Anolis sagrei: one gene and its partners. The protein of the gene in region 1 binds, or shares a complex with, the protein of each later gene. Links are inferred from orthologs where the notes say so. Each region holds a gene or a part of one and is shown in the gene's direction. Other genes may lie near its edges.

Evidence for each region.
Region 2: POLR1E (region 1) and POLR1F share a complex: the UniProt entries of both Homo sapiens proteins name them as parts of the RNA polymerase I (Pol I) complex. The link is inferred for Anolis sagrei from reciprocal best matches to the Homo sapiens genes POLR1E and POLR1F.
Region 3: POLR1E (region 1) and POLR1H share a complex: the UniProt entries of both Homo sapiens proteins name them as parts of the RNA polymerase I (Pol I) complex. The link is inferred for Anolis sagrei from reciprocal best matches to the Homo sapiens genes POLR1E and POLR1H.
Region 4: the proteins of POLR1E (region 1) and POLR1B are in contact, whole or in part, in a cryo-EM structure (PDB 8A43), measured with the Homo sapiens proteins. The link is inferred for Anolis sagrei from reciprocal best matches to the Homo sapiens genes POLR1E and POLR1B. Residues at the interface, in NP_071935.1 of Homo sapiens: Gln27, Ser29, Asn30, Gly31, Tyr69, Thr76, Leu79, Lys80, Cys81, Leu84, Cys85, Met109, Gln110, Pro111, Leu112, Phe113; in NP_061887.2 of Homo sapiens: Lys254, Ser258, Phe259, Ser260, Tyr262, Gln263, Gln266, Ser295, Thr296, Gln297, Ser338, Thr340, Glu341, Ala532, Cys535, Pro541, Ile542, Asp543, Gly544.

Annotation. Positions count from the first base shown.
Region 1 is NC_090022.1:152,394,598-152,401,738, reverse strand, and holds the start of POLR1E (DNA-directed RNA polymerase I subunit RPA49), read left to right. Parts: upstream 1-4,128; 5' UTR 4,129-4,178; coding exon 4,179-4,236; intron 4,237-4,649; coding exon 4,650-4,753; intron 4,754-6,496; coding exon 6,497-6,573; intron 6,574-7,141. UniProt on the Homo sapiens protein: Component of RNA polymerase I (Pol I), a DNA-dependent RNA polymerase which synthesizes ribosomal RNA precursors using the four ribonucleoside triphosphates as substrates.
Region 2 is NC_090026.1:94,695,056-94,702,271, forward strand, and holds the start of POLR1F (DNA-directed RNA polymerase I subunit RPA43), read left to right. Parts: upstream 1-4,198; 5' UTR 4,199-4,328; coding exon 4,329-4,561; intron 4,562-7,216. UniProt on the Homo sapiens protein: Component of RNA polymerase I (Pol I), a DNA-dependent RNA polymerase which synthesizes ribosomal RNA precursors using the four ribonucleoside triphosphates as substrates.
Region 3 is NC_090022.1:23,171,505-23,178,431, forward strand, and holds the start of POLR1H (DNA-directed RNA polymerase I subunit RPA12), read left to right. Parts: upstream 1-3,905; 5' UTR 3,906-3,985; intron 3,986-6,258; 5' UTR 6,259-6,279; coding exon 6,280-6,409; intron 6,410-6,537; coding exon 6,538-6,635; intron 6,636-6,927. UniProt on the Homo sapiens protein: Core component of RNA polymerase I (Pol I), a DNA-dependent RNA polymerase which synthesizes ribosomal RNA precursors using the four ribonucleoside triphosphates as substrates. Can mediate Pol I proofreading of the nascent RNA transcript.
Region 4 is NC_090021.1:24,390,872-24,398,876, forward strand, and holds the start of POLR1B (DNA-directed RNA polymerase I subunit RPA2), read left to right. Parts: upstream 1-5,005; 5' UTR 5,006-5,051; coding exon 5,052-5,228; intron 5,229-8,005. UniProt on the Homo sapiens protein: Catalytic core component of RNA polymerase I (Pol I), a DNA-dependent RNA polymerase which synthesizes ribosomal RNA precursors using the four ribonucleoside triphosphates as substrates.

The DNA of each region.
Region 1 (7,141 bases):
GCCTACAGGTTGGGGACTGCTTTTCTCATGGAAGCTAAGCCGTCCAGGTTGGTACTTGGGTGGAGTACTAAGTCCTGTAGGCTATATTTCAAAGGAAGGACATGGCCAAACAATTTCTGCGCACTCCTTGTCTCAGGGCCCTTCCACACAGCCATATAACTCAAGAGTATCAAGGCAGATCATCCACAATATCTACTTTGAACTGGCTTATCTGAGTCCACATTGCCATATAACTTATTTATTTATTTGTTTCGCATATTTGTATCCCGTCTTTCTCACCCCCGGAGGGGGACTCAGGGCGGCTTCACAACAGGCATTCATTCAGTGCCAACAACAATAATAAATGATAAAAGCAATTAAAACAAATTGCCAGGTTTGAAGAGCGGGAAAGGGTGATGAGACAAAATTATAATAAGGGAAGGGAAGGGTTTTCAGTTAAGTGGATAAGAAATTGGGTTTTCAAATACTCAAAAGGATTTTTCCAAAGCTTAACAATAGGGACAAGAGTGGGATTTCTCACATACATTCCATTAAAGGTTTTAGCAAGTAACATTAACCTACCCAAGGGTGCATCCGTATCATAGAATTAATGCAGTTTGACCTTCATTTAACTACCATGGCTCAATGCGATGAAATCATGGGAGTTATATTGGCGATAATGGATCATGACCTGTTAGGATCACTGACCATCGGGGTATAAATCATGAACTGTTAGGATCACAATCTAATTAGGATAGCAGAGTTTATTTGGTAATGGATGGTCGCTGGGCATGTAGATATTTTGTTTTGGTATGACACTTTCAACAGAAAATGATGCAACCAGACTTCTATTAAAGACAACAAGTTTTGTTTACTGATAACTTCACGTATTTAAAGATACAGGCACATTTCTTGTCAAGGGTTAAAAACTTCAGTAACGTTTCAAAGAGTTTGTATCTTGAACTTATAACCTTTAACAGTTCCTTAATAAACTATGTTGTTTTATACAGCTCTCTTTAATAAGAGTTTACTTTCAAATAAAACACACACCTCAACAGTTTCTAATTTCCTAAGATGGTAATTGGAGGTGACCCTCCACTTCCAGGGCTCTGTAAAAGATAGTTCAAAATCAGGGAATTCATGGTTTTGCCAAGGACACCAGGCTGAATGGATCCCATAATCCCTATCTCTCTTTCTGTTTTTATGAATGGACTCCCGACTACTCAGTGCTCCCCTGAGCTTCCATGCACCCCTCCCCCATGAACTCTTATGAGTTCTTATGAACTTTCATGAGCTTTATAGGAATTTCTATAAACTCTTGCCAAATTTTTATGGACTTGGGGGGGGGGGGTGACTTGACTTCCCCTTAGACCCTGCATGATTCCCCCTTTTCCTGTGAACTCTGTGTATGTTCCCTTGCCCCATTCCTCATTCCCTATATGTATATATGTCTATATAAGAAAATATGAAGGAAAGCAACCTTTTCATAAACCAGCAACTCATGGCTTTTGGAGTTTCCAAACTGCCTGAGCTGATAATCCCCTAACAAAGGATTCAACCAGATCCATTTGCATGGACAATAGATAAATGACTCTATATATCTGGACATCGGAGGGCTGATAGCCAGGTCATCCAGATTAAGGGAGTCTGTGGACATATTGGATCACTCAACACCAAGGACATTTCCTCATCTACGAGGAACTAGGGATTTGTCACTGCATCCTTGCTGTGCCACATCTGGATCTCCAAAACTCATCTCTGTTTCATCAATGAACTCCATATTGCGCGATAGTAAAAACAAAGGACCTGGCCTTTCAGGGCCAGGCAAAAATGTTAATTCAAGAAACAGAAAAATAACTCAGACCAAGCTTGAGAGCCTGAAGCTATCGCCAGGTCATTTGGTAAACACTCGACATTCTTAATCCAGTCAACTAGACATTTCTTCATTGTTTTCCCGTTGCCTGCCTCCCTTCCACCTCATTGGCTGGGCAGATAAAGCAGGGCCAGGGCACTCCTTGGATCTCCTCCTGGCTTGCTGACGTCACAGCCACTCATTACAAAACCAGCTCAGGGTGGGCATGGGAACTTTTGAATCTGAAGGCTATAAATATTGTATTTTTCTGCCCAGTGAGTTATGTCAGCTCCTGGACAGATTACTGCGGTCGTCATCCGTGCCAGCTGGAATGAAATAAACATCTCGGTGGCTTTCCTTCAACTTGGTGAGACTATTTTGGGAAAAATTAGAGAAAATCTTCATTGGTGCTTGCTGTCTCGCCAGGTGTTCCAGATCCTCTTTTTGGGTCTGGCCGGTCTCTGCCTAGGCAGAGCCTCTCAAATTCAGGTTCGACATCAAGATGAGCTTCTGAACTCTTACAGACTTCTATACTGAAGCTCATTCAAGGCTTAACACACTTCTCTAAGAGTCATTCATTCCTCAACTGACATTCCCTAACAGTCATCCTGTTTACACCTGAACAGAGCTCAGACTTTTTAAAGAGAGGGCCAGGTCACAGTCCCTCAAACTGTTGGAGGGCTGGATTATAATTTGAAAACAAAAACAAAACATGAATGAGTTCCTATGCACAGTGCACATATCTTATTTGTAGTGCAAATACCACTTAAAAACAATACAATAATTAAAATGAAAAACAATTTTAACAAATATAAATTTATTAGTATTTCAATGGGAAGTGTGGGCCTGCTTTTGGCTGATGAGATAGGGTTGTTGTTGTTGTTGTGTGCTTTCAAGTCGTTACAAACTTAGGCTGACCCTAAGTGAAGGCTGGGTACATGACCTTGGAGGGCTGCATTCAGCCTCTGGACCTTAGTTTGAGGACCCCTGGTCTAAACGATCACTGAGTCAGTCATGTGACTTGCAGCCCCTCCCATTGCTCTTTCGGTATATAGAGATAAAGAAACTTCAAATCAAGTAAGACATATACTTCAGGTATATGTATTACAAAACAGACAAACATCATATAGAGGAGGCTTGAGAAAGTTGCTTCCCCCAACAAGTTATAGTTTACAAAGGTCTTCTTACTTTACTTAGGCAATCCCTCGTTGGACGAGTAAGATGGTCTTCCATGATGGGTTTCCTTGTGGATTCGTAGGTGGCTGTGGAGCCCTATTCTTGACCCACATCTTCTCCCACAGTGAAGGCATTGGTTTCCAGGTGGAAGGCGGTCCCGGTCGGGATTGGCTTGATGCACCTTCCTCCTGGCACATTTCTCTCTTTCACCCTCCACTCATGCCTCCTCGAATTCTGCAGCACTGCTGGTCACAGCTGACCTTCAGCTGGAGCGCTCAAGGGCCAGGGCTTCCCAGTTCTCAGTGTTTATGCCAGAGTTTTTAAGGTTGGCTTTGAGGCCATCTTTAAATCTCTTTTCCTGTCCACCAATGTTCCATTTTCCGTTCTTAAGTTCAAAGTAGAGCAACTGCTTTGGGAGACGGTGGTCAGGCATCTGGACAATGTGGCTGGCCCAGCGGAGTTGATGGCAGAGGACCATCGCTTCAATGCTGGTCGTCTTTGCTTCTTCCAGCACGCTGACATTTGTCTGCTTGTCTTCCCAAGAGATTTGCAGGATTTTCCGGAGGCAGCGCTGATGGAATCGTTCCAGGAGTTGCATGTGACGTCTGTAGACAGTCCACGTTTCGCAGGTGTATAGCAGGGTTGGGAGGACAATAGCTTTATAAACAAGCACCTTGGTCTCCCTACGGATGTCCCGGTCCTCAAACACTCTCTGCTTCATTCGGGAAAATGCTGCACTCGCAGAGCTCAGGCGGTGTTGTATTTCGGTGTTGATGGTCTTCACTGGTGCCTCACTAGACTATAGATCCCATGATTCCAGAGCATTGAAGGATAGCAATTGTAGCATGATCAAACTGCACTGATTCTACAGTGTAGATCAGGCATGAGCAAACTTTGGCCTTTCTGGCCCTGATCCCTTACCAAGGTGTTTTGGACTTCAACTCTCACAATTCCTAACAGCCTAAAGGACTGTTTGCCCCTGCATGGTGTTTACATTTTGTCAATGTAAATATGAGGAAAGGAGACTCGAGCCAGTTCCCCCTTCCTGCCTGCAGGTGGCGACAGAGGCTTCGTGGAGTGAGCCTCGCAGGCGGAAGGGGTTTGCTTGGGATCAAAGCCACTCCTCTTCCTGCAGCTGGACACACGCGGGGAAACAGAGGCATCCTTGGCCATGGAGGCTCGGTGGTGCTACCGGGGGGACCCCCAAGAAGGACAGAGCGCCCCTCTCGGTAAGGGATCGGGGCCAGAAAGGCTCTCAGTGCTGATTCTTCCCTGGTTTGGTCTTGCCTTTGCACCCAGGGCTCCCTTGCAAAGGCTCAAGCACGTGGCCGGGTCATTGAAGTAAATAAGCCCTGATCTCTAGGCCTGGAGTGCAGCCTGGCCCCACTTTAGCTGCCATGTCTCAATGCTATGGGATCCTGGGATTTGTGGCTTGTTGGTGCTTGGGAGAGAGGTCCCCAACTGATGACATATGCAGGAGACAAGGTGGAACTGTCCCTGTCCCCCTCTCTCTTCAGTCTGGCCCAGAGCAGCAGTTGATGCTGGGGGGAGAGGTTTAAGTTTAAGCATGACAAAGCATTCACAAAGGCTAAAATGCTGGTGTTACAATTTTTCTTACCTTTGTTTTCTCACTCATGCACAGTTCAGTTCACAAATGGCAAACTGAAGAGTTCTGAAAATATGACTTTCAACCTATACAGAAACAAAGACACCACAAACCCGAGAAAGAAGCAGAAAGTAACTTTGGTAAGCAGGTTTGGTATAGAGCAAGCTTGCTTTGTTAATTGACTGATAGACTGGTGAACAGGAATTGTATTTATTTGCTTACTTACTCAGCTATCCCACTTTTTTATTTGGTAAACTTATGAGAGTCACGAAGAGTCGGAGACGACTGAACGAATGAACAACAACAACATGAGAGGGTTACACAAAGCTCAAATGATTTTATTATTAGATTTTGAAGTTTTGTTATGGAACAATTTTGTCAATGTCTCTTCAGAGGCAAGAAATACAGTGTTCAGTGATATTTATTTCACCTCGATGGATATAGGATTGTAGCCTTAAATGGCAGATTTAAGTTTCACAGATATGGCCTCAAGTAAAGGTGAAGGTTTCCCCTGACATTAAGTTTAGTTGTGTCCGACTTTGGGAGGTGGTGCTCATCTCCACTTCCAAGCCAAAGAGCCGGCATTGTCTGTAGACACCTCCAAGATCATGTGGATGGCATGACTGCATGGCGGGGGAGGGGGGGATTTAGAAATTGAAATACTCACCAATAATTTTCATTAATTTTCATCGTTACCTTCCCGCAGAAGTGGTACCTATTTGCTCTACTTAAATTTGCATGTTTTTGAACTGCTAGGTTGGCAGAAACTGGGGATAACAATGGGAGCTCCCCCCGCTCCCCCAATTCAAACCACTAACCTTTCGGTTAACAAGTTTCACAGCTCAGCAGTTTAACCCACTGCACCACCGGGGCCTGTGCATGAATATATATATGTATGTGTGTGTTTATATACATACACATACACACACACACACAAGTATTCTTACCTGTTATATATTCTAGCGACAGGACATTCCTCCTCTTCCTGATGCTTACCTTAAAGTCACAGAAAATGCGCTCAGCATGGAATCTGGGTACCTTAAGACATAACTTAAAAAACAGAAATTTGCTTATTCAGTATCCATGTCTGGAAAATGGATTAAAATAAATGACATGTGCAGACATACCATTCCCATTGTACAAGGGTGAGTCAAAAGGTTTTGCTTCCTGTGTCATAAAAACATTATGAATGGTCATATAACAGCAGTCGCTACAGTTCATAGTTGAACTGTCACCATCCATTTGTACACATTTTTGCCATTATTCAACCCAGGCATCAAACCCATTTTGGAAAAATTCAGAGCTTTGCTTTGTGATCCATGTTTTTAAATCTGAAACCACATAGGTTGTCTTTCAGAGGTCCAAACAGGTAAAAGTCAGAAGGGGGCAAATCATAAACATTCTTCAAGCAATGGTGGATTCCCTTAGGTGTAAAACCTTCTTTTGCCAGAAATTTAATGACCGCTCTTTCTTTTACGTTCAGATTCATGGTTCTAATCAGTCAATTGGAAAACGAAAAGACTAAATCAGTAGAGTAAGGTTACCTCTGTTATATCATATACACATAGTTCAATAGCTGTGAAAGAAATAAAAGTTAGAGCGATGGAGGCATTACTATTTGACCCACCCTCGTATTATTTCTTTACATGTTTTGCATCAACTGCAGTGGAAGTGAGGAGAAGAAAATAAATAGATTGACATTGTGTGGCTGTTTGACATGAAGATTCCACTTTCTTTTAGGGTACTTTGAAAAGGCTTGAAGCCAATGGCTTCCCATTTTGTGGTGGGGAAAAAACTTTGAGCCTTTGGAGCATTTACTTTAGTTTTAAAACTTATTTTTATCCCCAAAAAAATCATTAATCTTTCTTTTTTTTCTTTTTTAGAATGCAGAAACAGAGAGACTTTCTTATGTAGGAAATAATTTTGGTGCAGGAGCCCTGAAGTGCAATACTCTATGCAGGTAATATATATGTGTGTGTCTGTACATCAGAAATAGATGTAATTGTATGTTTACTTGAGTTAGAATATCTGCATTGAAGCTAATCCTAAACTTGAATAAAATTACAAACGGAAATTGATTTGGGATAGTCATCTTTTTCTGTTGAGTTTTTTGTGGGGCGGGCTTTAGCACAGCAGGTTAAACCGCCAGCTGTAGAAAATCTTGCTGATTGAAAGGCTGACAGTTCAAGCCCAGGTTGGGGTGAGCTCCCAACCATCAGTCCAACTTCTGCTCACCTAACAGTTCGAAAACAGCAATGTGAGTAGATAAATAGGTACTGCTTTGGCGGGGAGGTAAAAAAAGGCACCTGTGCGGGTGATTCTATTGGAAGAGTGACTAAAGGACAACAAAGCTCCTCGGCATGGAAGATGGAGCGACAGCATACACACCCCGTGGTTGGAGTTGAGCACAGCCTCCAGATGCAGGAGATGGAAAAAGATGGGAAGCCTTTACCTCTGTTTATGTACTGTCTGTCTTTGTTCATTGTATAATGGCATTGAATGTTTGCCGTAGATGTGTCCCTTTGGGG
Region 2 (7,216 bases), on another chromosome or scaffold:
CGAGGGCAAAAACTGGTTAAGGGGGCTACAATTCAGTACATGGGGCCAAATCCTAATGCAAAATAATAATAATAATAATAATAATAATAATAATAATAATTTTAGATAAAGAATAATAAGGCTGACACTATACTTTGGAATATACTTGCCTTGGATCTCTAGATGTTTAGCCTACTTACACTTTTTAAGTAAGATTTGAAACATCAGCCCAATGGGTCTTCTCCAGGTGAGACACAAAGCTCAGATGGGATCTGAAACGGAGATTCAACAACAAACAACAACTTTGGCCAAAGAATGTACCGAGCCCCAGCACAGCTTCTGTCCAAGCTACTCGCAGCCGAGATAAAGTTTATTTCAAGTGTCAGTATTTTATAGAGTGATTTCTAAGGCATATGCGGTAATCCTTATCTGAGGTCTATGTGACCAGGACGGAATGTTTTTAGGATTTCTTGTTGGAGGACGTCTCAGGGTCTGGCACTGTATATAACCGTAACATCTGGGCACATAATATTGTGGTTACAGAATTACTTGCATAACACAAATGACAGATATTAGTAAACAATGCAGGCTATGGGAAGAGACAACTATTGTCAAAATGGAGGTGGCCAGCCTCCCTATAACATATCAACATACAGCGGAATCTTTAATCTCTATTTTACACCAATATCACCAGCCTTAATCAAGACAGCAGATTGTGAGAGATTTGGGGATATGTATTCCCAAAGAACTGAAAGGCAAAAGGTACCCCTTGCTCTAAAGTTAAATAATTTGGGGACACCATGAAAGCTTAAGGAAGAACTACTGGAAATGCCCAACACTAGAGTCTCAAAAGGTAATATGAAGAACAGCCAAAAACAAATGGAAAGGAATGCAAGTTTCTCTCAAAACTGTTTAGGTCGCAACAGCGAACACTGTTAAGATTAATAGGAGCAGTTAAGACCAAACTTTGCGCAAACATTTTGAATAATGATGTGTTTGTTTTCATATTAAACTTTGGGGAATGAATCCCTTTACACTATTTTACTTGGGTTAAACATTGCTTATATATTCAAAGCTCAATTGTGCCACCTGGTGACTACTTCCTAAATTTACTTTTATTATTCATTACCACTTTTGGTTTGCCTGTACATAAAACTAAATGTTTCTGATAGTGAGGCCTGTTCCACACAGCTGAATAAAATCCCACATTATCTGCTTTGAACTGAAATATTTGGCAGTATGGACTCAGATAACCCAGTTCAAAACAGATATTGTGGGATTTCCTGTCTTGATATTCTGGGTTATATGGCTGTGTGGAAGGGCCCTGAGACTCCATTTTTTCTAAGACTTTTTATAACCGCCTGGAATGCTTCTCCTCCTTGTCCTCTGTCCAGCTAGATACCTTTTAGGAGCACCAACATTAGGAGGATGCTGAAGAAGAGCTGGAGAAACATTGAGTTGCAAGAGCATGTCTGTAGTAAACAATGCAATGAAGCCTGAGCTGGAAAAAATAGAATAGTTCTCCCATTTCTACTATTGGAATTGTATGAGCTTGCCTACGACTGACAAGGTAAACACTAGTTGCTTCCAGAAGCCTTCACTTAAACATCAATGAATAGCAAAACATAGAGGAAAGAGGAAAGATAACCTTGAACCCATTTACACTGCCATAGCGTGCAGTTCAATTGTGTAGATTCATATAATGCAGTTTAACTCTATTATTGCATTATATGAGTTTACACTGACCATTCTGTGGTGGAAGTTCCTTCTTTGGAGGCTTTTAAACAGAGGCTGGATGGCCATATGTTGTGGGTGCTTTGATTGTGCTTTTTCTGCATGGCAGAATGGGGTTGGATTGGATGCCCATGAGGTCTCTTTGAACTCAGTGATTCTATGGCAATGTAGATCCAACTTCACCAACCCGTAGCCAGGATTTTGAATTTTTTTGGGGCGGGGGGGGGGGGGGGTGAGTCTGAGTGAAAGAGGGTTTACCCTAGCAAATCTTTTGTATTGTTACCCCAATACCTCCATGCATATGGGATATATTGAGCATGTACCAGTAAGGCCTTCTTGCAGACCACCATGAGAATTTCGGGGGGGTTGAAGCCCCCCCCCCCCCCGGCTACATGCCTGAGCCTCAGCAACTCCCAAAATGTACTAAAGACCATCAAAATAAAAATCATATTTTTATCATCTGTTTCCGGCACAATTCAAAGTGCTGGTTATGACCTTTAAAGTCCTAGACGGCTCAGGTCCAGGCTATTTGGCTGACCACATCCCTTTGTACAAACCTGCCCTGGCACTGAGATCTTCAGGAGAGGCCCTTCTCTTGGTCCCACCTCCATTCAAGCGCAGTTGGTGGGAACAAGAGTGAAGGCCTTCTCGGTGGCTGCGTCTCGACTCTGGAACTCCCTGCACAGGGAAGCCAGAATGGATCCCTCCCTGCTGTCCTTCAGGCCTCAGGTTAAAACCGTTTTATTCAGGCAGGCTTTTAAAGAGGAAGGGTTTTAAGCTCATCAGGGGCTGCTGTGATTTTGTATGCTTTTAATTATGTTTAATACTGTTTTAATACTTGTACATTTGTCTATTTTAAGTTGTATTGCAATGCTTTTAGTCGTGAACTGCTTTGAGTCTCCATATGGTGAGAAAAAGCAGGATATAAATAAGTATAAGAAAATAAAGACCATACACACAGCCATGTAACCCAGAATATCAAGGCAGAAAATCCCACAATATCTGCTTTGAACTGAGAGCCCTTCCAGACAGGCTCTATATCCCAGGATCTGATCCCAGATTTTCTGTTTTCTGGCAGTCCGGACTCATATAATCCAGTTTAAAGCAGAAAACCCGAGATCAGACCCTGGGATATAGGGCTTGTCTGGAAGGGCTATCTGAGCCCACACTGCCATATAACCCAGCAAAAAGCAGAAATGTGGGATTTTATTCAGCTGTGTGGAAGAGGCCTAAGAAGAAGAAAAGTGACTTTTGTGAAACTGCCTGGATGCCTTTTGGGTCTTGGAGATTCAAACTGTTTTGGCTGGATCTACACCGCCATATAATCCAGTTTCAGGATGCCAATTAACTGCATTGAACTGGATTTAGGCCTCTTCCACACAGCTGTATGAGGGGCTGAGTTTGATTCAAGGGGGGGGGGGGCTGAAGATCTACCCTTGCAAACCTTTTGTCTCGTTATACCAATAGCCCCATGCATATGGGATATATTGAGTATGGTGATCAGATCATGATATGAGTAAACATAACAGTTTAAATAATGTACCAGTAAGGCCTTCTCACGGAGCACCATGAAATTTTTTTTTGGGGGGGGGGGTGGCCTTTGGGAATTTCAGCCCCACTGCCTGCCATCTGTGCTGCCTCCGAAAAATCCTGCAAATCTCTTGGGAAGACAAGCGGACAAACGTCAGCGTGCTGGAAGAAGCAAAGACCACCAGCACCGAAGTGATGGCCCTTTGCCATCAACTCTGCTGGACTGGCCACGTTGTCCGGATGCCTGACCACCGTCTCCCAAAGCAGTTGCTCTACTCCGAACTCAAGAAGGGAAAACGGAATGTTGGAGGACAGGAAAAGATATTTAAAGATGGGCTCAAAGCCAACCTCAAAAACTCTGGCATAGACACTGAGAACTGGGAAGCCCTGGCCTTTGAGCGCTCCAGCTGGAGGTCAGCTGTGACCAGCAGTGCTGCAGAATTTGAAGAGGCACAATGGAGAGTGAAAGAGAGAAATGTGCCAAGAGGAAGGCGCGTCAAGCCAACCCCAAGTGAGACCGCCTTCCACCTGTAAACCAATGCCCTCACTGTGGGAGAAGATGGAGGTCAAGAATAGGGCTCCACAGTCACCTAGGGATCCACAAGAATACTGATCCTGGAAGACTATCCTACTCGTCCAAGGAGGGATCGCCTAAGTAAGTATTCTGGGTTATATGGCTGTGTGGAAGGGCCCTGAGAGTCTACTGTGTATACAAATAAAGATATTCCAAATCTGGGTGGAGGGAGGGGGAAAATCCCAAACACTTCTTGTCTGAAGCCTTTCAGATCAGGGATGTTTAAGGCGTATTTGAGATCTTTGCAACCTTCCACACAGCTATACCCTTTTCCTCCTAGAAGTGGGCGGAGCGAAAGGAGCCAAGCCACTCCCAAGATGGCGGCCGCATCACCCTCACCGGAAGAGAGGCAGAACCACTTCCGCTTAGGGCTGTCTCCCAGTCTGGAGGGAGGCCTGACGCTTGTGTCGACTGCGTCAGCGTCATCACAGGGCGACGGGAGGGAGCGCGAGAGGCGCCTCGTGCGGGGAAGGGGGAGTGATCCCCGAAGACATTCGTCGCAGAAGGCGCGATGGCGGCGGAGACAGACGACGAAGGCGCGGTCCCAGTTCCGGCGGCGCTTCCTCCCTTCGGCGCCCAGCTGCCCTCTTTCGAGGCGGCGCGGGCGCTGACGGAGAGTCGCTACTCCTGCCTGGTGGTCATGCCTCATCGGAGGCACGTCGCCCTCCCGCCGCGCTTCCTCCACCGGAAGCGGACTGGGATCTGCCTCCAGTTGGACGCCGAGCTGCGCCGCTTCTCCGAGAGGTCAGGGCCCGGGCGGCGCTGTCGTGGAGGCCTCTCTTAATCCCCACACAGAGGCCTCAAGGCTGGTCTTGGAAAATTTAAACACTTTATAGCAGGCAGAGGCAAACTTGGGCCCTCCAGGTGTTTTGGACTGCAACTCCCACCATTCCTAACAGCCTCAGGGGGAAAAGGAAAGGGCCTGAGGCTGTTAGGAATGGTGGGAGTTGCAGTCCAAAACACCCGGAGGGCCCAACTTTTCTCCTATCTGGCCTAAGTCCAATTTTTTAGATAAAGTTTCAGTGGAGGCACCTTTTTGCCATGATAACCCTTTCAGGAGTGAATTTTCCTTCCTAGGGGTACTTTTCCCTCACTGTTGTCTTGCCCCTGTTCTTAATTATGTTTGTAAGTTGGGGGCTGCTTGTATATCATTTAGTGCTTATATCACATAGACATTATTATTATTATTAACTTTATTTGTACCCCGCTAGCATCTCCCGAAGGACTCGATGCGGCTTACAAAGGCCAAGGCCTCAAAACACAACATAACAATACAACACCTAAAGCAAATTAAAAACAGTTAAAGCAATATTAAACAACAAGTGATAAATAATACATCAAGACACTATAAAACTGGGCCAGGCCAGAGTAATGTTTACAAGGTTAAAAGTGCTGATGTGACAGGTGATATGTAAGGATTGTAGGGCAAGTGCAGTGTGCGGTGTGCAGCAATCTTAGTTCTAATAAAGTGCTTCTGGGACTTGTTATTGGAGTTTCCTATTCTGGAAAGGCACGTCGGAACAGCCAGGTCTTCAAGTTCTTTCTAAAGACTGCCAATGTAGGGGCCTGTCTAAGATCTTTGGGGAGGGTGTTCCAGAGTTGGGGGGCCACCACAGAAAAGGCCCTGTCATGCGTCCCCACCAAACGCGCCTGTGACGCAGGTGGAATCACGAGCAGGGCCTCTCCGGATGAATATTTATAAAATACATGTTTATAAAAGACCCCATAGACTGGATCTAAATGCAGACAGTTCTACTTGGGGCTCTTCCACACAGCCGTATAACCCAGAATATCAAGGCACAAAATCTCCCACAATATCTGCTTTGAATTAGAATATCTGAGTCCACACTGCCATCTAGTCCAGTTCAAAGCAGATAATGTGGGATTTCCTGCCTTGATATTCTGAGTAATATGGCTGTGTGGGAAATTAAGTCATGAGTAGGACATTACCTTGAAAGCGACAGGTCTCGTCTGATCTTGGAAGCAAAGCATTGTCAGACCTAAGGGCCAGAGGTTTAGCACAGCTGGTAAATCACCAGCAATTATAGGATCTATCAACTGAAAGAGTGCAAGTTTGAAGCCCCAGGTCAGTGTGAGCTGCCGACGGTCAGCCTAGCTCATTGCTTACCTAAGCAATTCGAAAACAGCTTTAGCTGTAATTAGAGAAATTAGGTACCGCTAAAAGTGGTGGTGGTGGTGGTTATGACACCATAAAGAAGATCAGAAAATGTTGGCGACCAAAAAGGAAGGAGGAAGTTGTGACGGCTTTTCGTCTTAGAGGATAGAGCAACAGTATCCCTGGACTCCAGTCCAACCTTCCATGGCACCAAAAACAGCTGGACACTGCATCGAAACAAACCACCTCCTTCTGTTCTGACTGTGTATTGTCTGTACAGAGCAGCATTGAATGTTTGCCGTGTATATGTGCTGTCATCTGCCCAGAGTCCCCTTCGGGGTGAGAAGGATGCAATATAAATAAAGTGTTGTTGTTATTATTATTATTATTATTATTATTATTGCAAAGCCTAGAGAAGACAATTATGCTGGGGAAAGTAGAAGGTAAAAGGAAGAGGGGCCGACCAAGGGCAAGATAGATGGATGGCATCCTTGAAGTGACTGGACTGACCTTGAAGGAGCTGGGGGTGGTGACGGCCAACAGGGAGCTCTGGCGTGGGCTGGTCCATGAGGTCACGAAGAGTCGGAGACGACTGAACGAATGAACAACAACATTATTATTACATGGATATAGGCATATATTGACAGAAGATTTGAAGGCATGCACACACATAGGGACCATTGCGAAAGGTGATGATGGATGATGTGACTTGGAGAGATATATGGTATTGTATCACTTCTTTAGGAAAGATCCTCAAGGGTAGGACCCTTTAACTCATAGCTGAAATCGTCTCTATATCATTTTAAGTAATTCTGGTAAACAATGCTACTCATATGCTAATGAAGGTGGTCAGCTGAAACATTCACACCTAGCTTCAGCAGAGAGCTCTTTGCCCCACCCCAGTCATTCCACAGATATATGAACCCATTTTCCTATTTCCAACAGACCTCACTACCTCTGAGGATGCTTGCCATAGATGCAGGCGAAACGTCAGGAGAAATGCCTCTAGAACATGGCCCTATAGCCCAAAAGAACCTACAAGAACCCAATGCTACTCATATCTGAACTTTTTTCCCCTTATAAACTCCACAGCTAGGTCTCTCTGTAGTTACATATGCGCGCACACACATACATGAATTCTGTAATCAAAAGTACCTGTTCTTGTTTCTACATGACACTCAGAAGAGGGCCAGGCAATCTTATCTGTGCAAACATTCTGTAAATAGGATTTGATCTCTTTTACTCTGGAAATCATTCATTGTTTTTCAGTGTATGTGTTGATA
Region 3 (6,927 bases), about 130 Mb from region 1:
ATATGTAAACCAAAGAGTTGTTTTAAAATAAATTTCTTTCAATAAACATTTGCTTTCTATATCTATTTTATATACCTATATATCTGGGGTCATGTAAAAAAAAGTTCAGGGGAAAAGGGGCTGCAAGTGGGAAAACTTTAAAGAGCTCTGGCCTTGTCCATGCTTGTATTGTGCCTTCATCATGCCTCATGAATTCTATAGGGCTTTCTTGGGAAAGGAATACTAAAGATAGTTTTGCTGGTTCCTTCCTCTGAAATAGAGACTAAAGCATCTAGTATTTGTTGGTGGTACTTCCGTCCAAGTACTAACCAGGGCTGAGCCTGCTTAGCTTCCAAGATTTGATGGGACAGACTGGATGTGTTTTGATAATCTCCCAACTGAGATTAGCTTTGAGGAGAAAAGTATACTTTAAAAAGGCACAGCTTTTTTTTTCCAGAGTTGGTGCCACCTTGTGGCATTATTCAAATAAATGGCAAAAACTTCAGTCTGAAGCACTGAATACACTTTTTAGGGAATATGACTGACAAAAATGCACAAAACTTTTGATATGCAGGAGGAGGTAATGTTCACTTGTAGCAATCTGCCAAGAGAGATGGAAAGTGATAGGAAGCAAAGTGATAGACAGGAATGGAATGGTAGCCAGGCCTGAGAATGCAGTGATTTGAATGGTTTGTTAATAATACCTGTATCTTATCCTAATAACACATTGGTTCTTAAACAATTGGGCCCAACCTCAAATGTGGTCCCCTGAGCTCAATGCTGGAGTGCCCCCCCCCCTGCAAATGGCAACAGTAAAAGTCTTTCTGAATGCCATTTACATGAATCTGTTGTGCAGTGTTTACAGTAGTCTCTGCAGAAGATGCTTCAGCTGTACTTCATAAAAAGGAAACCCAGCATGTTTAGCCAACCTTGCAAATCCCAATTTTCTACCAGTACATTTTTGATGTTTATACCAATTTTGTATACCTATATATCTGGGGTCACATAAAATATGACTGGGCTAAAAGGGGTCTCCTAGGTGCAAAAGTTTAAGAAGCCCTGCTATAACATAAAGTCCCCAGGGAGAGTGAGGCCCCTTCTACACTGCCATATAAAATCCAGATTATCTGCTTTGAACTGGATTATATAGCAGTGGAGAAGAGGCCTGAGGCTGGATCTACACTGCCCTATATTCCAGGATCTTATCTCAGATGATCTGCTTTGAACTGGATTATATGAGTCTACACCGCCAGATAACCTGGGATAAGCAGATAATCTGTGATACAGGGCAGTGTAGATCCAACCAGAGAAGTAGAGAGAAAGATTGAGACAAAGTGTCTCTAGATTGGTTCCACAAAATGTGTGACTGAATGCCTCTTTACATCTGTTGATTGTACAGTAGGGTCTTGCCATTCACTGGGTTTTGGATACCAAAATCCATGGGTGTACAAGTCCCATTACACTATTTTTGTTCGTGGATTATAAATGTCATTTTCTAATTGGTTCTATCATAAGATCGTGGAAAAGGTTTATTAAACTTCGTTTTTTGCGGGACATCCTGCAACACATCTTGCTATAGTTTTTCAATTTCTCATCAAATCTCAACCAATTCAACACAGTTCGTGGCAGTCACAAAAAACGAAGTTTCTGGACTATGACAACTACTTTCAAGTAAGTACTGTACTATTAAACAGGAAACACTTTCAAACCAGAAACAGATTTTTTTTTTAAAAAAATGTTACATAGTGTTATATACAATGTCATGGTGAAATGTCACTTGCCTAAAATGGCAAAAACAAAACTTGCTTCTGCCTTTGTTTGTGTTTATGTGTCTCATTGTATATGATTGTAAATGCATTGACTATTTGCCTATGTTTGCCTGCTACTAAGAAGGATAATAATAATAATAATAATAATAATAATAATAATGGCTGTGATGGTCTGGATGAGGGCGAACAAGTTGAAACTGAATCCAGACAAGACAGGTCCTCCTGGTCAGTTGCAAGGCTGAATAGGGCATAGGGTTACAGCCTGTGTTGGACGGGGATACACGGGGGATTGCAGGTTCGCAGCTTGGGAGTGATCCTAGATTCATCACTGAGTGTGGAACCCCAGGTCTTGGCGGTGACCAGGAGAGCATTTGCACAGTTAAAACTTGTGTACCAGTTGTACCCATACCTTAGGAAGTCTGATTTAGCCACGGTAATCCACCCTCTGGCTACATCCCGTATAGACTACTGCAATGCTCTCTACATGGGGTTGCATTTGAAGACTGTTCAGAAACTTCAAATGGTCCAGCATGCGGCAGCCAGGTTGTTAACAGGAGCAGCACTCCCCTGATGCAACCCCCCTGTTGCATCAGCTCCACTGGCTGCCAGTCTGCTACCGGGCACAATTCAAAGTGCTGGCTTTAGCCTATTAAACCCTAAATGGTTTTGGCCCAGCTTACCTATCCAAATGTATCACTCCTTATGAACCATCTAGGACTCTAAGATCATCTGGGGAGACCCTGCTCTCGGTCCCGCCTTCGTCACAAATTTGGTTGTCGGGGACGAGGGACAGGGCCTTCTCAGCAGTGGCCCCTTGGCTGTGGAACACCCTCCCTAGGGATATCAGATCGGCCCCACCCTCCTATAATTTCGCAAAAAAGTTAAAACTTGACCTTTTGAGCAAGCATTTCCAAATGCAGTGTAGCAGACAACTCTGATCTACGGAACGACAATGCAATTGGATAATTATTTATATATCGTGTCAGGAGCAAACCAAAACAGTTGTATTGCATTAAACACAAACAAACAAACAAACAACACACAAAGTTTGCATACTTGGTATTCTACTGGATAATGATTGGATAATGATTTTAGTAATGAGATGCTGAGGATTTTGGTTTTTATTGGTTTTTACTATTTATGCCAAATGTTTTTAATTGTTTTATGTTGTTGGGGGCATCGAATTGTGCCGTTTGTAAACTGCCCTGAGTCGCCCTCGGGCTGAGAAAGGTGGTATATAAATATGGTAAATCAATCAATCAATAAATGTAGATGCTGTAATCTGCTCTGAGTCCTCTAGGGGAGAAGGGCGAAATATAAATAAAGTGTATGATGAGTCCTCTAGGGGTGTATGATAGTTATTATTGCTTTTGAGATTTTGTTTTAGTGTGGAGGGGGGAATATTTTAAATTTATGTTTGGCTGGATCCGTGGAAACAGAACCCGTGGATACAGAGATCTGACTGTCTACAAAAATAAAAAGAACTGGGTTGTTGTAGGTTTTTTTGGGTTATATGGCCATGTTCTAGAGGCATTTTCTCCTGACGTTTCGCCTGCATCTATGGCAAGCATCCTCAGAGGTAGTGAAAAGTAGGAAAATGGGTTTATATATCTGTGGAATGACTGGGGTGGGACAGAGGACTCTTGTCTGCTGGAGCTAGGTGTGAATGTTTCAACTGACCCCCTTAATTAGCATTTGATGTCTGTTGGAACTAGGAAAAGGGGGTTTATATATCTGTGGAATGACCAGGGTGGGACAAAGGACTCTTGTCCACTGGAGCTAGGTGTGAATGTTTCAACTGACCACCTTGATTAGCATTTGATGGCTTGGCAGTGCCTGGGGGAATCTTTTGTTGAGAGTAAACAATCAGGCACATCTAATCAGCTCTCAACAAAAGATTCCCCCAGGCACTGTCAAGCCATCAAATGCTAATTAAGGTGGTCAGTTAAAACAATACAATAAAAAAGAACATTTGAATCCCGATTATTTGGAGAAAGGAGAATCAAGACGGAGGGGAAGAAGACATTGAGTGTGTTCAAAGGGACAGAATACTAAACTAAATAATCAAACGTGCTAAGCTCCCATAGAACTGGCTACACTGTATCTCCGCTTTGAAACAGAGCGGAAGTGCTCATGGAGTGGAGGCGCTCTAGCTCAAGTTCCCTCCGAGCTCGTCTCTCCGAGAAAGGAAGTGAGTTCTGCCTGTGAACCCACGTGGAGCACCTGGATTAGAGTCGGTAAGAATCAGGGCTGTTCATTAGATTAGGCTCAGAGCTTACTTAAGATTTTTTGCTTTTTAGGTGTGCATCTACACTTGGGATTTGAAGTTTGGTGAGACACCAGCTCTTAAGGCAGGCATGGACAAACTTGGGCCCTCCAGGTGTTTTGGACTTCAACTCCCACAATTCCTAACAGCCTACGGCTGTTAGGAATTGTGGGAGTTGAAGTCCAAAACACCTGGAGGGCCCAAGTTTGCCCATGCATTCTCTAATCCCAATGCTGTATATACAATGGCATAGTTGCTTATATAAAATAGTAAAATCAGGGCTCTTGCTTTTTAAATTATGTGTGTGTGTGTTGGTGCCATGTGTTGTTGTGGCCCAGTCTAGTGATCTGGAAAACAAAGTAATGAGAAAGTGTTGGTTTCTAATATATAACTAGCCGTCCCCTGCCACGCGTTGCTGTGGCCCACATGGGTGTTCTGTGTGGGAGGTTTGGCCCAATTCTATCGTTGGTGGGGTTCAGAATGCTCTGTGATTGTAGGTGAACTATAAATCCCGGCAAATGTCAAGATTCCATTTTCCCCAAACTTTACCAGTATTCACATTTGGGCATATTGAGTATTCTTGTAGAGTTGTGGATCCATCATTGCTTGAGTCCACAGTGATCTCTGGATGTAGGTGAACTACAACTCCAAAACCAAAGGACACTGCCCACCAAACCCTTCCAGTATTTTCTGTTGGTCATGGGAGAACTGTGTGTCGTTTGGTTCAATACCATCGTTGGTGGGGTTCAGAATGTTCTTTGATTGTAGGTGAACTATAAATCCCAGCAACTAGAACTCCCAAATGTCAAAATCATATTTTTTTTTTTAGTGAAGGACATACATTGGGTTGTTAGGTGTCTTGTGTCCAAATTTGGTGTCAATTCCCCCAGTGGTTTTTGAGTTCTATGAATATCAAAAACGAACATTACATTTTTATTTATATAGATAATGATGTAATTTCTTTATGCTTGCAGGTAAATAGTATTTCTTGTTGTTTCTTTGTCAGTGTTGATTGTCTGGTTTGCCTACTCTGAAACATGCAACATATAATTGTTCTTCTTTAGGGACCTTTTGAAAATCTATGATACAATATCTGTCATATACATATGTCTCTGTGTGTATAGAATCATAGAATCATAGAGTTGGAAGAGACCTCATGGGCCATCCAGTCCAACCTCCTGCCAAGAAGCAGGAATATTGCATTCAAAGCACCCCTGACAGATGGCCATCCAGCCTCTGCTTAAAAGCTCCCAAAGAAGGAGCCTCCACCACACTCCGGGGCAGAGAGTTCCACTGCTGAACGGCTCTCACAGTCAGGAAGTTCTTCCTAATGTTCAGATGTGGAACCCTAACCCTAACCCTCAGCTCAGGAAGCTGGGGAAGTTGGATGGCTCTTTGTCAGGAGGGCTTTGATTATGTTTTCTTGCCCTGGTGAAGGTTGTTGGACTAGATGGCCTTAACACAGCATTTCTCAACCTGGGGGTTGGGACCCCTTGGGTGGGTCGTCAGGGGGCGTCAGAAGGATTGCCAAAGACCACCAAAAAACACAGTATTTTCTGTTGGTCATGGGGGTTCTGTGTGGGAAGTTTGGCCCAATTCTATCGTTGCTGGGGTTCAGAATGCTATTTGGTTATAGATGAACTATAAATTCCAGTAACTACAACTCAAGGTCTATTTACCCAAACTCCATCTGTGTTCACATTTAGGCATATGGATTATTCGTGCCAAATTTAGTCTAGATCCTTCATTATTTGAGTCCACAGTGTTCTCTGAATGTAGGTGAACTACAACTCCAAAACTCAAGGTCAATACCCACCAAACCCTTCTCGTGTTTCCTGTTGGACATGGGAGTCCTGTGTGCCAAGTTTGGTTCAATTCCATCGTTGGGAGAGGTCAAAATGCTCTTTGATTGTAGGTTAACTATAAATCCCAGGAACTACAACTTCCAAATGACAAGATTAATTTTTTAGTGATGCTCACTCCTTGGATTAGTAGGTAACTTGTGACCAAATTTGCTGGCAATTAGTCCAGCGGTTTTTGAGTTGTGATGTTACTCAAAACGAACATAGCCTTTATAAATAGATAGATAGATAGATAGATAGATAGATAGATAGATAGATCGATAGATTCAAGTCATGTATAGTTGAATCTGTTGATGTGGGCTCTCTGGATACAGAGGGATTCTAATCGCACAGGAATTATAATTAAAGGATGCTCAACCTATACATCTTCCCTCTCCTACAGTCTGTCTTCTCCTTGGTCAATATGGAACAGAATAGTTCCTGCTTTGAGTCAGAACTAGATTTCTGTCCTGAATGTGGTACAGTCCTTCCATTACCAGGTCTTCAGGATAAGGTGGCATGTCGCTATTGCGCCTTCTTCATTGATGTGCAAGGTAAGGGCTTTCTGCCTCTAGAATATTCCATAACCGGAGGTGGGGTATTTAGTAAACATGTTTTTTAAAAATGGGTGAGTTAGAGTACATATGCTTCTTATCTACACATGTGTTTATTAACTTCACAGAATTTGAAAAGAGAGTTATTGATACATCAGTCACCTTCAACAGGACAGATACCACATCTTCGGAAGTGGATGGAGGAAAAGCAGTCAAAGGACCACTGGTGAGTGAATGGGGAAGTGAAATGAGTAATTATAATGCTAATAATTTCATGTGTCTATAGCAAAACATATGAAATCCTATTTCCTTTTATCATGGCTGGAGAACCTGTGGCCATTTAGACTGTAGTTTCCATCAACCGTAGCCAGCTTGATCAGTGATGATGGATGATAGAAGAAGTCTTTGATCAATATTTGGGGGTGCCACAAGTTCCCCATTGTGCTTTATTCCAAAGGGAGAACAAGATGTGTCAAAAGGACTGGTGGTGTAGTGCCATGTAGGCTGTGCTATTATTT
Region 4 (8,005 bases), on another chromosome or scaffold:
GTTAGCATCCTGGCTGCTGCCCGCTGGACCAATTGAAGTTTCCGAGCCGTCTTCAAGGGCAGCCCCACGTAGAGCGCATTGCAGTAGTCCATTCTAGAGGTGACCAAGGCGTGGACCACCCCGGCCAGATCAGCCTTCACGAGGTATGGTCGCAGTTGGCGCACAAGTCTCAGTTGCGCAAAGGCCCTCCCGGATACCGCCGACACCTGAGCCTCAAGTGTAAGCGAAGAATCCAAGAGGACACCCAAACTGCGGACCTGTGGCTTTAGGGGGAGTGTAACCCCGTCCAACACAGGTGACCACCCTATACCCCGATCCGGTTTACGGTCGACCAGGAGGACCTCTGTCTTGTCGGGATTGATCTTCAGCCTGTTCTTCCTCATCCAGATCGACACAGCGGCCAGGCACTCGTCTAGCACCTGAGAAGCCTCCTTGGAATTAGGTGGAAAGGAGTAGTAGAGTTGTGTGTCATCTGCGTAGAGATGGCACCCAACTCCAAAACTCCGGATGACCTCTCCCAGCGGTTTCATGTAGATGTTAAAAAGCATGGGAGACAAAATAGAGCCTTGCGGGACCCCACAGGACAAAGGCCAGGGGTCAGAGCAGGCGTCTCCCAGCTTCACCATCTGGGTACGTCCCTCCAGGAAGGACTGGAGCCACGACAGAACCGTGCCCCCAAGGCCCATCCTGGAGAGACGACCCAGAAGGATACCATGATCGATGGTATCGAAAGCCGCTGAGATGTCCAAGAGAACCAGCAGAGTCACACTCCCCCTGTCCAGCTCTCTGCGGAGGTCATCCACCAAGGCGACCAAGGCTGTCTCAGTGCCATGACCAGGCCTGAAACCAGACTGTGACTGATCTAGGTAGTTGGTATCGACTAGGAAACCCTGGAGCTGAGAGGCGACCACCCTCTCCAGCACTTTACCCAAAAAGGGGAGGTTGGAGATCGGCCTGTAGTTATTCAGCACCGTGGAGTCAAGGGAAGCTTTTTTGATAAGTGGGCGAACCACGGCCTGCTTCAAATTAGATGGAAAAATTCCTTGCTCCAACGATGCATTGATAATCGGTACAAACCAGTCAAGCAACCCCCCTCTGGCTGATTTAATGAGCCAAGATGGGCATGGGTCAAGAGATGAGGTGGTCGCTCTCACAGCCCCAAGAATCTCCTCCACGGTTTCAGGAAGAACAAGCCTAAAAGAATCCCACAAGGTTGGACAAGCAGGTGCCTCCGTCACCTCTCCTGGCACTGCGATGGAATTGGAGTCGAGCTCAAGACGTATCTGGGCGACTTTACCTGCAAAATGGTGTGCGAAATCGCGACACCGAGCTGCAGGGTCATCAGCGACCTCCTCCACCGCAGGTGGGTGGAGGAGTTCTCCCACGACCCGAAACAGCTCCGATGATCTATTTGCTGCAGATGCTATACGAGCGGTCGTGAATGATTTCCTGGCCACCCGTATAGCCACGGAGTATGCCTTAAGAGAGGCTCTAGCCCGTGTTCGATCAGACACATCTCGAGATTTCCTCCATTTGCGCTCTAGCCCCCTTCTCGTATGCTTCATCACAGCCAGCTCCTCGGTGAACCAAGGAGATGGCCTGTCACGACGCAACGAGATGGGGCGTTCAGGTGCGATCGTATCTAACGCCCTGGCCATCTCCCCATTATAGAGAGTTACCAAGGCGTCGATAGAATCGCCAGACTCCAAGGCAGGAAGAACCCTAAGATTCCTCAGGAATCCGTCCGGATCCATCAGTCTCCTAGGGCGGACCATCTTAATTTGTCCTCCACCCCTGCGGAGGTTTAGGGTCGCAGTAAGTCTAAATGTGATCAGGTGATGGTCAGACCATGACACTGGAAGGATGTTTTGATCTTCCACTCTGATCATTTCGTTGTCCGCCACAAAAACAAGGTCAAGAGTGTGTCCAGCTTGATGAGTGGGGCCAGATATTATCTGTGACAGCTTTGTAGCCATTTAGATGGTTCTGGGTAGCCCTCTCACTATTACTCACTCATTCATCTGGTTCTCTCACCGCCAGCTGTTAGGAATTGTGGGAGTTGAAATCCAAAAACACCTGAAGGGCCCAAGTTGGCCCATGTATAGTGCAGATGCACCCTAAGTGAGGCCATTGAGGAGAACTCTCCAGGGTGCTGAATTCTTGGACCCTTACAATGGCACAGGCTGCAGACTCTGGAAATATTGTGCATTAAGCATCCATTGAGTCCCCTTGGGGAGATAGAGCGGTATATAAATAAAGTTTTATTATTATTATTAAGCTCTGGCCTGGTCCATGAGGTCATGAAGAATTGGAAGCAACTGCACGAATTGTAGGGGCAAAAAATATATATATGGGGAGGACGAGGAAGGACTTCACAAAAGCTGAATCTTTAAACTGCAAAAAACAAAAACAAACTATTTATTGCTTGGCTATAGCAATAATGACAAAACATGCATTCAGGAATGCAATCAAAGGGTTTGTTGCAACCCCCAATGGGGCTGTAGAGCTTTTATCATTTTTAGCATACATATTCTAATTGGTTCCCAAAGACAAATAATGTCATGGGTCTAAGCTAGCTGTACAGTTGCTCATTGGTGGTTTATGATTTTGATTGACATTATAGCACACGTGGGATCCTAACAATGGCCCAACTATAGTCTATTGTTCTCAGAACATGACTGTCTTAATAAATCAGTCTTATCTGTTAGTCTGTTGCAAACATGGCTCCAGAGCGACTGGGAAACTTGGGGGTTCAAACTAGCCACCAGCTAGTCGGTTTTGTCCGGATGTACTGTTATCCTTGAAAAGTAACTTCCTCTTTGCAGCACTGATTTCTCAAACAATCAGCATTTCTGTAAACAGATCCCAGTAAGGTGGTCTTCTGCAGCTGGCAGCTGGTAATTTTGTCAGCGCTGATTGTGTTTAAGTACAGGCCAATAGGCACTGCACCCAGTGTGCCAAGGTCTTTAGATACTGCACCCAGTGTGCCGATCACCACTGGGACCACCTTGGCTGCCTTGTGCCAGAGTCTTTGCAGTTCGATTTTTAAATCCTCATATTGTGTCAGCTTTTCCAGTTGTTTCTCTTCAATCTGGCTGTCACCTGGGATTGCAACATCAACAATCCATACTTTGTGTTTTAACACAATCGTAATTATTATTATTATTATTAAGAGCACGTTGGTTTTCTTGATGTTCAATGATCACTGTCTCCTAAAGCAGTTACTCTACTCCCAACTCAAGAAGGGAAACATAATGTTGGTGAACAGGAAAAGAGATTTAAAGATGGGCTTAAAGCCAACCTTAAAAACTGTGGCATAGACACAGAGAACTGGGAAGCCCTGGCCCTTGAGCGCTCTAACTGGAGGTCAGCTGTGACCATCAGTAATGCGGAATTCAAAGAGGCACAAATGGAGGGCGAAAGGGAAAAACGTACCAAGAGGAAGGTGCTTCAAGTCAACGCCTTCCCTCGAAACCGATGTCCTCACTGTGGGAGAACATGTGGATCAGGAATAGGGCTCCATGGTCACCTATGGAACCACCAACAAGACACTACACTTGGAGGGCCATCATCCTCGGGCTATGAGGGATCGCCTAAGTAAATAAGTTCAAACATCAAGAAAGGAGATTCCATCTGAACATTAGGAAGAACTTCCTGACTGTGAGAGCCGTTCAGCAGTAGAACTCTCTGCCTCAGAGTGTGGTAGAGGCTCCTTCTTTGGAAGCTTTGAAACAGAGGCTGGATGGCCATCTGTCGGGGCTGCTTTGAATGCGATTTTCACAATACACTTGGAAGTCCATCATCCTCGGGCTACGAGGGATCGCCTAAGTAAGTAAGTTCAAACTTCAAGAAAGGAGATTCCATCTGAACATTAGGAAGAACTTCCTGACTGTGAGAGCCGTTCAGCAGTAGAACTCTCTGCCTCAGAGTGTGGTAGAGGCTCCTTCTTTGGAAGCTTTGAAACAGAGGCTGGATGGCCATCTGTCGGGGCTGCTTTGAATGCGATTTTCACAATACACTTGGAAGTCCATCATCCTCGGGCTACGAGGGATCGCCTAAGTAAGTAAGTTCAAACTTCAAGAAAGGAGATTCCATCTGAACATTAGGAAGAACTTCCTGACTGTGAGAGCTGTTCAGCAGTGGAACTCTCTGCTTCAGAGTGTGGTAGAGGCTCCTTCTTTGGAGGCTTTTAAACAGGGGCTGGATGGCCATCTGTCGGGGGTGCTTTGAATGCGATTTTCACAATACACTTGGAGGACCATCATCCTCGGGCTACGAGGGATCGCCTAAGTAAGTAAGTTCAAACTTCAAGAAAGGAGATTCCATCTGAACATGAGGAAGAACTTCCTGACTGTGAGAGCCGTTCAACAGTGGAACTCTCTGCCCCGGAGTGTGGTGAAGGCTCCTTCTTTGGAAGCTTTTAAACAGAGGCTGGATAGCCATCTGTCGGGGCTGCTTTGAATGCGATTTTCACAATACACTTGGAAGTCCATCATCCTCGGGCTATGAGGGATCGCCTAAGTAAGTAAGTTCAAACTTCAAGAAAGGAGATTCCATCTGAACATTAGGAAGAACTTCCTGACTGTGAGAGCTGTTCAGCAGTGGAACTCTCTGCCTCAGAGTGTGGTAGAGGCTCCTTCTTTGGAAGCTTTTAAACAGAGGCTGGATGGCCATCTATTGGGGGTGTTTTGAATGAGATTTTCCTACTTCTTGGCAGGGGGTTGGACTGGATGGCCCATGAGGTCTCTTCCAACTCTATGATTCTAAGTGAGCTCCCTCACACACCTCCCTCTCTTGTGAGGGAAGCAGCTAGTGCCTACAGAGCCCTCAATACAGATAAGAGATTTCCGGAAGTGATCAGCGCACGGCATGCCGGGAGTGGGCGGTTCTGTTTATGCACCGGGGAAGGTGGAAACTGCGGAGGCTGATTGGCTGTTAAGAGTTCGAAGCATGGACTCAGAGTTCCTGATTGGCTGTTACAGTTCCTGGTTGGCTGTTCCGGTTCCTGATTGGCTCTTGGAGTTCTTGGCTTGGCTCTGAGAGTCCGAAGCATGGAGGCCGCGTGCAAGTGGCGAGGGTTGCCCGGCGCCCCGAGTTTGAAGCCCTTGACGGCGCCGGAGCGCGGCCTTCCTCGAGAGAAGCAGCGGCAAGCCCTGCAGGATGTCACCCGGGCCCACGTGGAGTCCTTCGACTTCGCCACCGGGGATGGGCTGCTCCGGGCCGTGCAGGTGAAAGGAAGGAAGGAACGGGGGGAAAAAGGGAGGCCTGGCCTGGCCTGTGGGTGCAGGTTGCTGCCAACCCCACTGAGGCTGGGCCTACACTGGCCTATATCCTGGATTATCTGCTTATCCCAGGTTATCTGGCGGTGTAGAGCAGACCTAGGCAAACTTGGGCCTTCCAGGTGTTTTGCACTTCAAATGATTTTCTTACAAGGTTCTTGTGGGTTTTTTTCGGGCTATAGAGCCATATTCTAGAGGCATATTTTCTCCTGACGTTTCGCCTGCATCTATGGCAAGCATCCTCAGAGGTAGTGAGGTCTGTTGGAAATAGGAAAATGGGTTTATATATCTGTGGAATGGCTGGGGTGGGGCAAAGAGCTCTTCCCTGCTGGAGCTAGGTGTGAATGTTTCAACTGACCACCTTCATTAGCATTTGAAGGCCTGGCTGAGCCTGGGAAAATCTTTTGTTGAGAGGTGTTAAGATGTGCCTGGTTGTTTCCTCTCTGCTGTTTTGCTGTTGTAATTTTAGAGTTTTTTAATACTGGTAGCCAGATTTTGTTCATTTTCATGGTCTCTTCCTTTCTGTTGAAACTGCCCCATCCCAGCCATTCCACAGATATATAAACCCATTTTCCTATTTCCAACAGACCACAGTACCTCTGAGGATGCTTGCCATAGATGCAGGCGAAACGTCAGGAGAAATGCCTCTAGAACATGGCCCTACAGCCCGAAAAAACCCACAAGAACCTAGTGATTCCAGCCATGAAAGCCTTCGACAATACAATTTTCTTACAATCTATCCAGAGATATGATGACATGTCCTTAGAACTGCAACATCAATGTCTTATTTTATTTATCTACTAGCCCTTCCCTGCCACGCGTTGCTGTGGCCCAGTCTGTGTATATGTGTTTTGTGTGTGTATATATTTGTGCATATGTGTATATATGTGTGTTTGTCTATATATGTGGTTCTGCGCATGTGTGCAGTGGCCCAGTCTGTGTGTTTTGTGTGTGTATATATTCGCATTTATTTATTTATTTATTTACAGCTTTTATATTTATGAACCCACGCGTGCACTTCGTTCATCTGGTGAGGCCCTGCTCGTGATTCCGCCTGCGTCACAAGCGCGGCTGGTGGGGACACGAGACAGGGCCTTTTCTGTGGTGGCCCCCCCGACTCTGGAACACCCTCCCAAAAGATCTTAGACAGGCCCCTACATTGGCAGTCTTTAGAAAGAACTTGAAGACCTGGCTGTTCCGATGTGCCTTTCCAGAATAGGAAATCTCCAATAACAAGTCCTCGAAGCACTTTTAGTAGAATTAAGATTATTGCACACCGCACACTGCACTTGCCCTATAATCCTCGTATACCACCTGCCACATCAGCACTTTTAATCTTGTACCCATTACTCTGGCCCGGCCCAGTTTTTATTGTGTCATGATATACTGTCTATTGCATGTCGTTAATATTACTTTTACTGTTTTTAATTTTGCTTTTGGTGTTATATTGTTTGTGTTGTGTTTTGTGGCCTTGGCCTTTGTAAACCGCATCGAGTCCTTCGGGAGATACTAACGGGGTACAAATAAAGTTAATAATAATATCCCGGATTATCTGCTTATCCCAGGTTATCTGGCGGTGTAGAGCAGGCCTGGGCAAACTTGGGCCTTCCAGATTTCTTACAATCTACCCAGAGATGTGATGACCTGTTCTTATGACTGCAACATCAATGTCTTACTTTATTTATCTACTGATTAGAATATTAGAATCATAGAGTTGGAAGGGACCTCGTGGGCCATCCAGTCCAACCCCCTGCCAAGAAGCAGGAAATCGCGTTCAAAGCACCCCCAACAGTTCAAAGCATCCCCAACAGATGGCCATTGTACTATACTAATAATTTAATATATTGTATGTATATGTATATCTTGTAAGTCGCTCTGAGTCCCCTTCGGGGTGAGAAGGGTGGCATAGAAATGTCATAAATAAATAAATAAATACACTATAGGAAATTCCATCACACAGGATTACACAATTTATTATTTCGGTTTCTTCTACCCCGCCCTTCTCACCCCGAAGGGGACTCAGGGCGGCTTACAAAGGCACAATTCGATGCCAACATCACATAACAGTAGTAAAACAAAATAACATCAATTAAACAGTTGAAACAGTCAAACAATTCCTGCATTACAGCCCTAAAACCAATAAAACGATACAAACCTAATTACTCCTCATAGACGGTCAGCGTTCACTATCTCATAGCCCAAATTCCAATTCCACATTGTCAGTCCTAGTCATTTGATTGTCCTTATCTAGTTGTCAAATTGCCCAAAGGCCTGGTCCCACAACCATGTCTTTACTTTCCTCTTGAAGGAGAGGAGGGATGTTGATGCCCTAATTTCTCCCGGGAGCGAGTTCCACAGGTGAGGGGCCATCACCGAGAAGGCCCTGCTCCTCATCCCCACCAGCCTCACTTGTGATAGCGGTGGGGTCGAGAGCAGGGCCTCCCCAGATGATCTCAGACTCTGGGGTGGGACGTAGAGGGAGATACGTTCGGACAGATACACTGGACCGGAACCGTACAGAACATTCTCTGCAGGTTTTTTTTTCAAACTTCCAACTTCAAAACATATGTTGGTATATTCCTGGAGTTATTTGGGGCACTGATTCAGAAAGTTGAATTGGAGAGCTCTAGTTTCTTACATATGGTCATCATTATTTTCTCTTGGCAAGCGGATGAAGAGTGGCAGATGGCATGTTCTGTATCGCAAAAGCTAGAGCTAATAGGGGG